2 linked regions of the Ovis aries genome follow. The protein of the gene in region 2 interacts with the protein of the main gene of each other region in a pairwise test. Links are inferred from orthologs where the notes say so. Each region holds a gene or a part of one and is shown on either strand. Other genes may lie near its edges.

Evidence for each region.
Region 1: the proteins of EFS (region 2) and TRAPPC6A interact in binary tests that used the Homo sapiens proteins (3 or more experiments, as listed by UniProt). The two-hybrid records come from large-scale screens. The link is inferred for Ovis aries from reciprocal best matches to the Homo sapiens genes EFS and TRAPPC6A.

What each region holds. Positions count from the first base shown.
Region 1 is NC_056067.1:52,607,343-52,610,988, forward strand, and holds the end of TRAPPC6A (trafficking protein particle complex subunit 6A), read right to left. Parts: intron 2,818-3,646; coding exon 2,750-2,817; intron 2,589-2,749; coding exon 2,471-2,588; intron 1,975-2,470; coding exon 1,891-1,974; intron 1,723-1,890; coding exon 1,629-1,722; intron 818-1,628; coding exon 786-817; 3' UTR 519-785; downstream 1-518. UniProt on the Homo sapiens protein: May play a role in vesicular transport during the biogenesis of melanosomes.
Region 2 is NC_056060.1:21,376,011-21,379,656, reverse strand, and holds part of EFS (embryonal Fyn-associated substrate), read right to left. Parts: coding exon 3,470-3,646; intron 3,216-3,469; coding exon 3,075-3,215; intron 2,958-3,074; coding exon 2,235-2,957; intron 1,870-2,234; coding exon 1,780-1,869; intron 546-1,779; coding exon 111-545; 3' UTR 1-110. UniProt on the Homo sapiens protein: Docking protein which plays a central coordinating role for tyrosine-kinase-based signaling related to cell adhesion. May serve as an activator of SRC and a downstream effector. Interacts with the SH3 domain of FYN and with CRK, SRC, and YES.

The sequences.
Region 1 (3,646 bases), on a different chromosome or scaffold from region 2:
AGGTGGTGGCAGGGGGTGGGGTGTGGGCACGGAGGCTGAACTGCCCAGAGACTAGTCAGCGGCGCCATTGTTCTGGGTATGACTCGTATCCGCCAGGCACGTTAAGCGTGTATTCGATAGAGTGTGTGTGTGTGTTAGGGGAGTGGAGGGTGTCTGGCCCACCCACTCACCTATCCTTGTTCCTGGCGGCCCCCCCAGGCCAGCCCACACCTGGCAGCAACTCCAGGGGCCAATGGCCTTGCTCCCAGGGAGAGGTCCGTTCTTTGGACCCCGCTGAGCAGAGAGCAGCCCCAGACTTGTCCATGCTGGCAAGGCTGCCTGTGCTGGGGGCCATCCTCCCCTGCCAGGTATGTGGGGCGGGAGGCGGCCAGCCACAGGGACTCGGCGGGGAGGAAGGGACTCGGCGGGGAGGAAGCCCCACGGGGTACCTCCACACTGGGCCCGTGACACACAGTCGCTTTGCCCCTGCCCCCAGCACCTCCCCCCCGCCACCGCCCCGCTTTCCACTCTGAGTCTGGTTCCACTTACAGAACCTTTATTGAGCGCCTGCCCTGTGGAGGGACATGTGTGGTGCAGACCCCCTCCACACCGGCCCTGAATGCCTTGGGGACCACCTGGCCCCCGGGACACCCCCACCTCCCTCTGACACCCATCTCTTGGGCATCTGTGACACCCTGCAGTGCGGGGACCCCGTCTCCCCAGCACCAGCCCCCAGCACAGGCAGCAGCGGGGTTCTCTGGGCCAGGGTGCTGTGAAGCTCGTCTGGGAGTGGGACCTGGGGCTCCTCAAGGTTTCTGGATCACCACCTGGAATTTACCTGGAAGAGAAGGGCTGGCCTGAGCTCGAGGCTGGGGCCGGAGGGGAGAGGTGGCACCCCAGCTGCTCTGAGCCGTTCACCCGGGCCCAGTGCCCTCAGCCTGGGTGGCCCTGGTTGGACCTCATTGCCTCGCTGGCCTGAGATGATGGTGCCCTAGCCCCACCCCTGGCCTGTGCCCCAGGGCTGTGTGGGTGGCTGGGGGCACGAAGGGCAGGCAGCAGGTCAGGCACGTAGGTTGTCGGGGAGGGACCTGGCCCAGTTTCAGTGGCACATGTGGCTCAGATCCTGCCGGCTTGGGCCCCAGTCCCCTATGATGTGTGGCCCTGGGGACTGGCAGAGGGGAAGACGCCCGAGGGAAGGGTGCGTGGAGGGCTGGTCGCAGGCAGCCCCCAGGGAAGGGTGGGGCCTCGGCTTGTCCTTTGGCGGGCACTGTGGGCCAGCAGGGCCCCGGGGTCAGGAGGACACCCCCTCACACTGGCTGCCTTTGGAGCTCCTCAGCCCAGCACCGCCCACCCCACCATCCCCAGGTGACTCCTATTGTGTCCACCTGGGTTCTTGCACTGGGAAGAGTGTTGGAAAACACTAGCCCAGGTCCTTGTCGTCGGCTGTCCCCGCCAGGCTGGCACGCCCAGGGAAGCAGTCTAGGAGGACATCGGGGGCAGGGCCGTGGATGGGCTGCACCTCCTGTGTGGCCTGGGCCTGGGACTTCAGCTCTCTGGGCCATAGATTCCCATCTGCAGTGGGGCTGGGCGGCCCGGCCCCACCTCCACGGCCCCTGGGAGCAGGGGGGATCCCCCCCACCCCAACTCACAGGCGGGCAGGGCTGCCACGGAGGCGGTGACCAGGCTCTTGACTCCCAGGGTGCTGAGGGTGCCACGCAGGAGGCCGCAGGTGAAGGCCAGGAACTAGGGGCGGGGCACACAGGTCACCGTGGGCAGAGCAGGGGGAGGCCAACACCCCGGGGCCACGTGGGCTTGAGCGTTCACAGCGGGGTGGAATGGGTCCGCCTCCCTCTCCCAGGGTCCTGGGCTTGGGAAGAGGCCTCTGCCCCAGGCTGGAATCACGCCCGGTACCTTGGGTGCTTCCTCCAGGTACTGTAGACCCGAGGCCATCCGGACGAGGAGGGGAAAGCTGTTGTCCTGCAGGACGTAGGTCCCCTGGGGACAGAGGAGGGTCCCAGGGAGCCGATGTGGCACCTGTACCTTCCTGGTGGGGGCAGGGAGGGGAGGCAAGGGCCCAGCACCGCCACCCTGAGGTCCGGAAGGACCCTTCCCACAAAATGGCTGTGGTCGGTCTTGGGCCGTCCTTCGAGGCTATATGAGGACCCGTGGACCCTCCGACCAGGGCCTGGTGTCCTCCCCTCCACGCCCCTGCTGCACGATTTCCAGGGTGCCCGGTGGGGAGAAGATACAGCCCAGGCCATCAGGCCACCAGCCAGGCCCAGCGTGGGTGCCTAATGGGAACGAGGCTCGGGTGCAGACAAGCCGCGTCAGGCCGAGGCACAGCCGCAAGCCGCGAGGGGCCTGTCCTGGGGGGCCTTGTGGGGAGGCCCCGAGGGGAGCTGAGCCTGCTGTGACTGCCCTGAGCCTGGGTCCCCTCCCTGGGTTCCCGGGGCTCCGGCCTCTGCCCGCTGTCTGCCCGGGGGGCACACACCTGGTGGTTGGTGCGGAGGCTATCCATCTGCTTGTGGAACACGGCCACCCACAGGTCTTTGCACAGGAACTTGAGGATGTCCAGCTCTTCCCTGAAGGCTAGCGTTTCCCGGGGCAGCCTGGGGGGGGAGCAGCAGCAGACACTGTGGGGGCCAGGCTGGGGGAGCCCCGGGGTGAGGAACAGGGAGGAGACTGGCTTGGGATCCTGTCTGGATCGAGGCACCCTCCCCACCCATTTGCCCAGGAAGGGAGCCCACTGCAGGTCCTGCCCGCCTCTCACCTCTCGCCCAGGGCCTGGCCCACACGGAAGCCCATGCCCTCCAGGACCAACAAGCTGGTCTTCTGTCCCTAGAAGGCCAAGGAAGGGAGGCTCAGGGGCCCTCGGCCACCTCCAGCCGGGAGCCAGCCGGTATAGCAGCTGAGGGGGGCTTGTGTGTCCCTGCTGGTGCAGGGAGACAAGACCCAGGATAGAGGGCTTCCTGAGTGGCAGGCTGGATCCACAGACCGCACCGGCCCTCAGGCTCCGCTCGCCCTCACTCCGGGAAACACGGGGGTCCTGCCTAGGCTCAGCCTCACCTGTTGTCTTTCCTTGCAACTCCCATCACTTCCTGAGTGTACTTTCAGCGTCCGTCCTTAAACGCCCTGTGGGGTAGCACTCCCGTCACCCCAGAAACTCAAGGTGACTTGCCCTGGGGCTCATATGGCGAGCAAGGGGGCTGCAGTGGAGGGGCCACAGGGGTGGGCCCCCGGATGGGCCAGCAGGCGGATGAAACGTCAACTGTGATTATGAGGCCTTAAATATGAGCCGAGACTCCTGGGAGGGACCCGCAGGGGCTCAGGGGAGGCAGGGGTGGCCAAGTGGCCTTCCGGGGGGCCGGGCCAGGCCAGGGTCCCGCGGTGGGGGTGCTGAGGCGTGGGGACTGAGCGGCAGGAGGCCGCACTTGGTGTCTGTCCAGGTGTCCTGGAGCGTGGCTGGAGGAGAGCCGACCTGTGTATGTGGCCCATCTGTGTGACCCGGAGAGCGCTGAGCAGCAGAAATGCCAAGACGGAGTCAGGGGGGCCAGGCACACACCGGGGGGCGTGTGAGGAACATGCTGAATGAGCCGAGTGAGGAATCGGGACCTGGGCCTACGCTGTGCCAGCTGCCTTGTGCAGACCCCTTGTTTAACAGCCCCAT
Region 2 (3,646 bases):
AGGGGAAAGATGCCTCAGTGTCTCCTAGTCCCAAAAACAGAGCCCTCCAGCCACCTGAGGACTGGAGGCGGCTCTGGGAGGCAGGTGAGGGCAGAGCAGAGACAAGGGGCTCAGGGGGCCAGGCTGGTGAGCAGAGTGGTGAATTGCAGGGCCCTCCCTGCCAGGTCTGCCACACACTGCGCCATCTCTTGGGCTGCAGGGCTGGATGGGTAGCCCAGGGCGGCCCCCTTGATGGCCAGCACGGTGGCCCGCAATGCCTGGCCCAGTGCTGTGCCCGCGGCCCCAACCTGTGCTCGCAGAGGGGCAGAGGCTGCCAGGCGGCCCAGGGTATCCCCAACGAACACCAGGCGGTGGGCGGCCACCAGCACCCGCTTGCCGTGGGGCACAAAGAGGCGCGGGGGCTGCTTTGCCTGGGTGCTGGACATCAGGGCCGCCACGGCCGCCTGCAGTGTTGAGTAGTGGCCCCGGCACTGCCCAGCGTAGAAGTGCAGGAGCTGTAGATCTCCAGTGGGCAGAACCAGTGGCTCCCCAGGGGACAGGGCCTCCTAAGGGCGAGAAGAGGGTTCAGCAGGACTGCTTGGCCAGTGCCACTTCCGTTCTTATTTCCTTTCTCCTTCCCTCCCTTTGTTCCTCATGCCTTCCTTTCTCCCTGAGCTCGACCCCTTTAAACTGTACCTTCTCCTATCAGACAACTTAGATTCTCTTAGCGAGTGACAGGAAGATGCCCAGAATTGATGTTTGATAAATCTGGATTCAAACAACCTCAGAAACAAGTCTCTGAACGTCATCATTCCTTTATCTCCTTTATCTTCTTTATCTTCCTTTATCTTCTTTATCTACGGGGAGCCTAGTACTGCACTGTCCAATGTAAACATAATGCCAACCACATATGCTATTTCAAATTTCCAAGTAGCCACGTTAGAAAAGTTACAAAGAAATTGGTACCTATTTTGTAATTCCATATATTAAAAATGGTGTAGTTTCAACACTGTAATTAATGTAAAAATTATTGAAATTGCTTTCCATACTAAGTCTGCAAAATCTGGTGTGCATTTTATATTTACAGTGCATTTCAGTTCGGACTGGTCACACTTGGGGATGAGTAGCTGCATGTGGCGTGTGGTTACCACACTGGATCCTGCAGTTCTTGTTTCTGCCTCCTAAGGCTGCAGTGAAGATTAGCTGATCTTCACAAAAAGAGCTGAGAACACAGCACTGCAAACTGTAAGCACCGTATGAGTGCTAACTATTGCTATGATCAGTGCTGACAGGTGCAATGTACTTAGCACAGGTTCTGGCGCTTGGTACAAACGTGACAGATGGTAGCTATGGCGATTAGGACCATTCTAGACCATGAGTCGAGGAGACAGTCTCATTTCCTTGAGACCCAGAGAGATTAACTGGTGGCTTCGGAGGCCCTGGCTTCTTAGTGGTGGAGCTGGAATTAAGACCCAGGTCTCTTAGGAACCCAGGAATTCACAGTTGGAAGGAGCCTCAGAAGTCACCCGGCCCAGAAACTCTGTCCCCCCCCGAATGCTCGGTTTTCTGACTCCTCTCCAACACATTCTTTCCTCTCTTTCTGAATTCCTGATATCCTTTTCGAAGTTCCAGCTCCTTTCTGGATTCTAACTCCTCTCCACCCCAACTGTCCTGTTTCATTGAACTCTTACCCTCTCCTAAATAGACTTCCCTCGATGCCTCAGTTAAGAATACCCCTTCTTCCAGGTTCCTGCTCCTCCTCCCCTGCCCCCTTCTCTAGCACCAACCGCACCGGGTTACCTGCTGCTCTGGCGGCCCCCTCTCCAGCTGTTCAGGATCCCCTGGGGAGGCCTTATCTGGAGGCCTGGCTTCCTGAACTTTATCCATGCCCTGCGGTAGGGGATAAGGGCCTCAGTGCAGGGGTAGGGGAGCAGGGCAAGGCAGCCCCCGTGGTCTTCCCACTCCTCCCCACTCCCACTTCCTCCTGAAGGTCTCTCCTCCCATCGGATCCACAGCCTCCTGACTCTGGGTCTGGGAGAGCCCTAGTGGCAGGTCAGAGAGCTTGGGGACCCCAGGTTGGGTTGCGGCACTGATACAAATGATGTGGCCCAGTACAGGGGTCACAGGCTACAGGGTGCAGGGTCAGCGGAGGGGAAGAAGGGAATGGAGGAAGCCAGGGTCTGCCTCTGGGACCTCAGGTCTTGACCCCCATTCTCCTGGAGGCATTCTGTGGGTGCTGACTGAGGCAAGCTCACCTTCAGGTGGACGTAGTCGTACTCCTCAGCCACTGGGATGCCCTCGTACTCGTTGTGGTGTCCTGCCGGGTGGTCCTCCACCTCCCTGCCCTCCGGATCCCCCTCCACCTTGGGGCCCCCGTAGCCAGGCAGGCGCGGTGGGGGTGGGGGCAGGGGCCTGTCCTGGATGCTGCCCTTCCGGCCTGGAGCAGGAGAAGGAGCCGGGGAAGGGCTGGGGGCCTCCGGCACAGGCAAGGCAGGCAGGGGGCGACGGGACAGACTCTCGGCTGAGGGCAGCCGGGGTCTGTGTGGGGCTGGGGGGCTTCTGGCCAGAAGGAGGGCCAGGGTGTCCATGTCACTGGAGGCCGAAGCTCCCAGGGGCTCTGGAGAAGGGGGTGTCTCCGGCCCCAGCAGGGGGACGTCATAGATGCCCTCGTCAGCGCCCCCGCCTTCCCCATCTGCCAGCAGTTCCTCTGGTGCTTCGTACAGATTGAGCAGGGCTGATGCTCGTTTCAGGTTGGAGGGGGCAGCATAGAGGGGGGGCCCTGGTTCCCGGCCCCCCTCCCACTCCAGATCTAACTCCAGGTCTGATGGTGACTTTGGGGCCAGAGGCACGTCATAGGGAGCTTCATCCTCTCCAAGGGACTGGGGGGCAACCTGAGCCAGAGGGCGGGCAAAGGAGGCCGGGGAGTCATAGGGGCCATTGGAGGGAACTCGGAGGGCAGTGGGGGGTACGTCGTAGACCTGCAGAGGGAGAAGTTAGTTACTTTCAGGCTCGGCAGTGGGCCCCCCACTCCCCTAAGCCATCTCCGAGAGCCATCTGTCCCCTGTCCAACAGACACATGAACCCCTAGCCCTCACCTCCAAGGCAGCTCCAGGGGCAGCCAGTTGGGTCCCACCGCCTCTGGGGACCTTGTAGATGGGGTCAGGGGAGGGTGGGCAGGGTCCAGTTGGAGGTCTCGAGGTAGGACAGAGTCGAGCTGGGGGTGGCACCACGTACAACTGGGGGATCGACAGGCAGGAGGGTCAGGTAGAGTGGGGAGCAGGGAATCATAGTGTGCGCCTGGGAGGAGCTTAGACACCTTCCAACCCCCTCCCTGTGCCAGTGGAGAAAGAGCCCAGAAAGACTTGGCAGACAGGATTTGAACAGCAGGGTCAGTGCAGGGCTGGGGGTCTCAGGGCTCTTTCTGTCCCTCCTGAAGCAGCAGAGAGGAATAGGTTGTCCAGAATCAGGGTTGGGGGGCTCCAGTGCTTACCTCCTGGTCCTCACTGCCATGCTCCGGGGCCGGATGTGGTGAGCCTGGCTGGGTTGGGGGCACCTGGGAGAGGCCAGGCTTGGGTGCTGGGCCAGCGGGAAGGAGCTTCACTCTGTTGGCAGGCACGATGCCCTGCTGGCCATGCAGGGAGCAGAGGCACCAGCCATCCAGCCCACC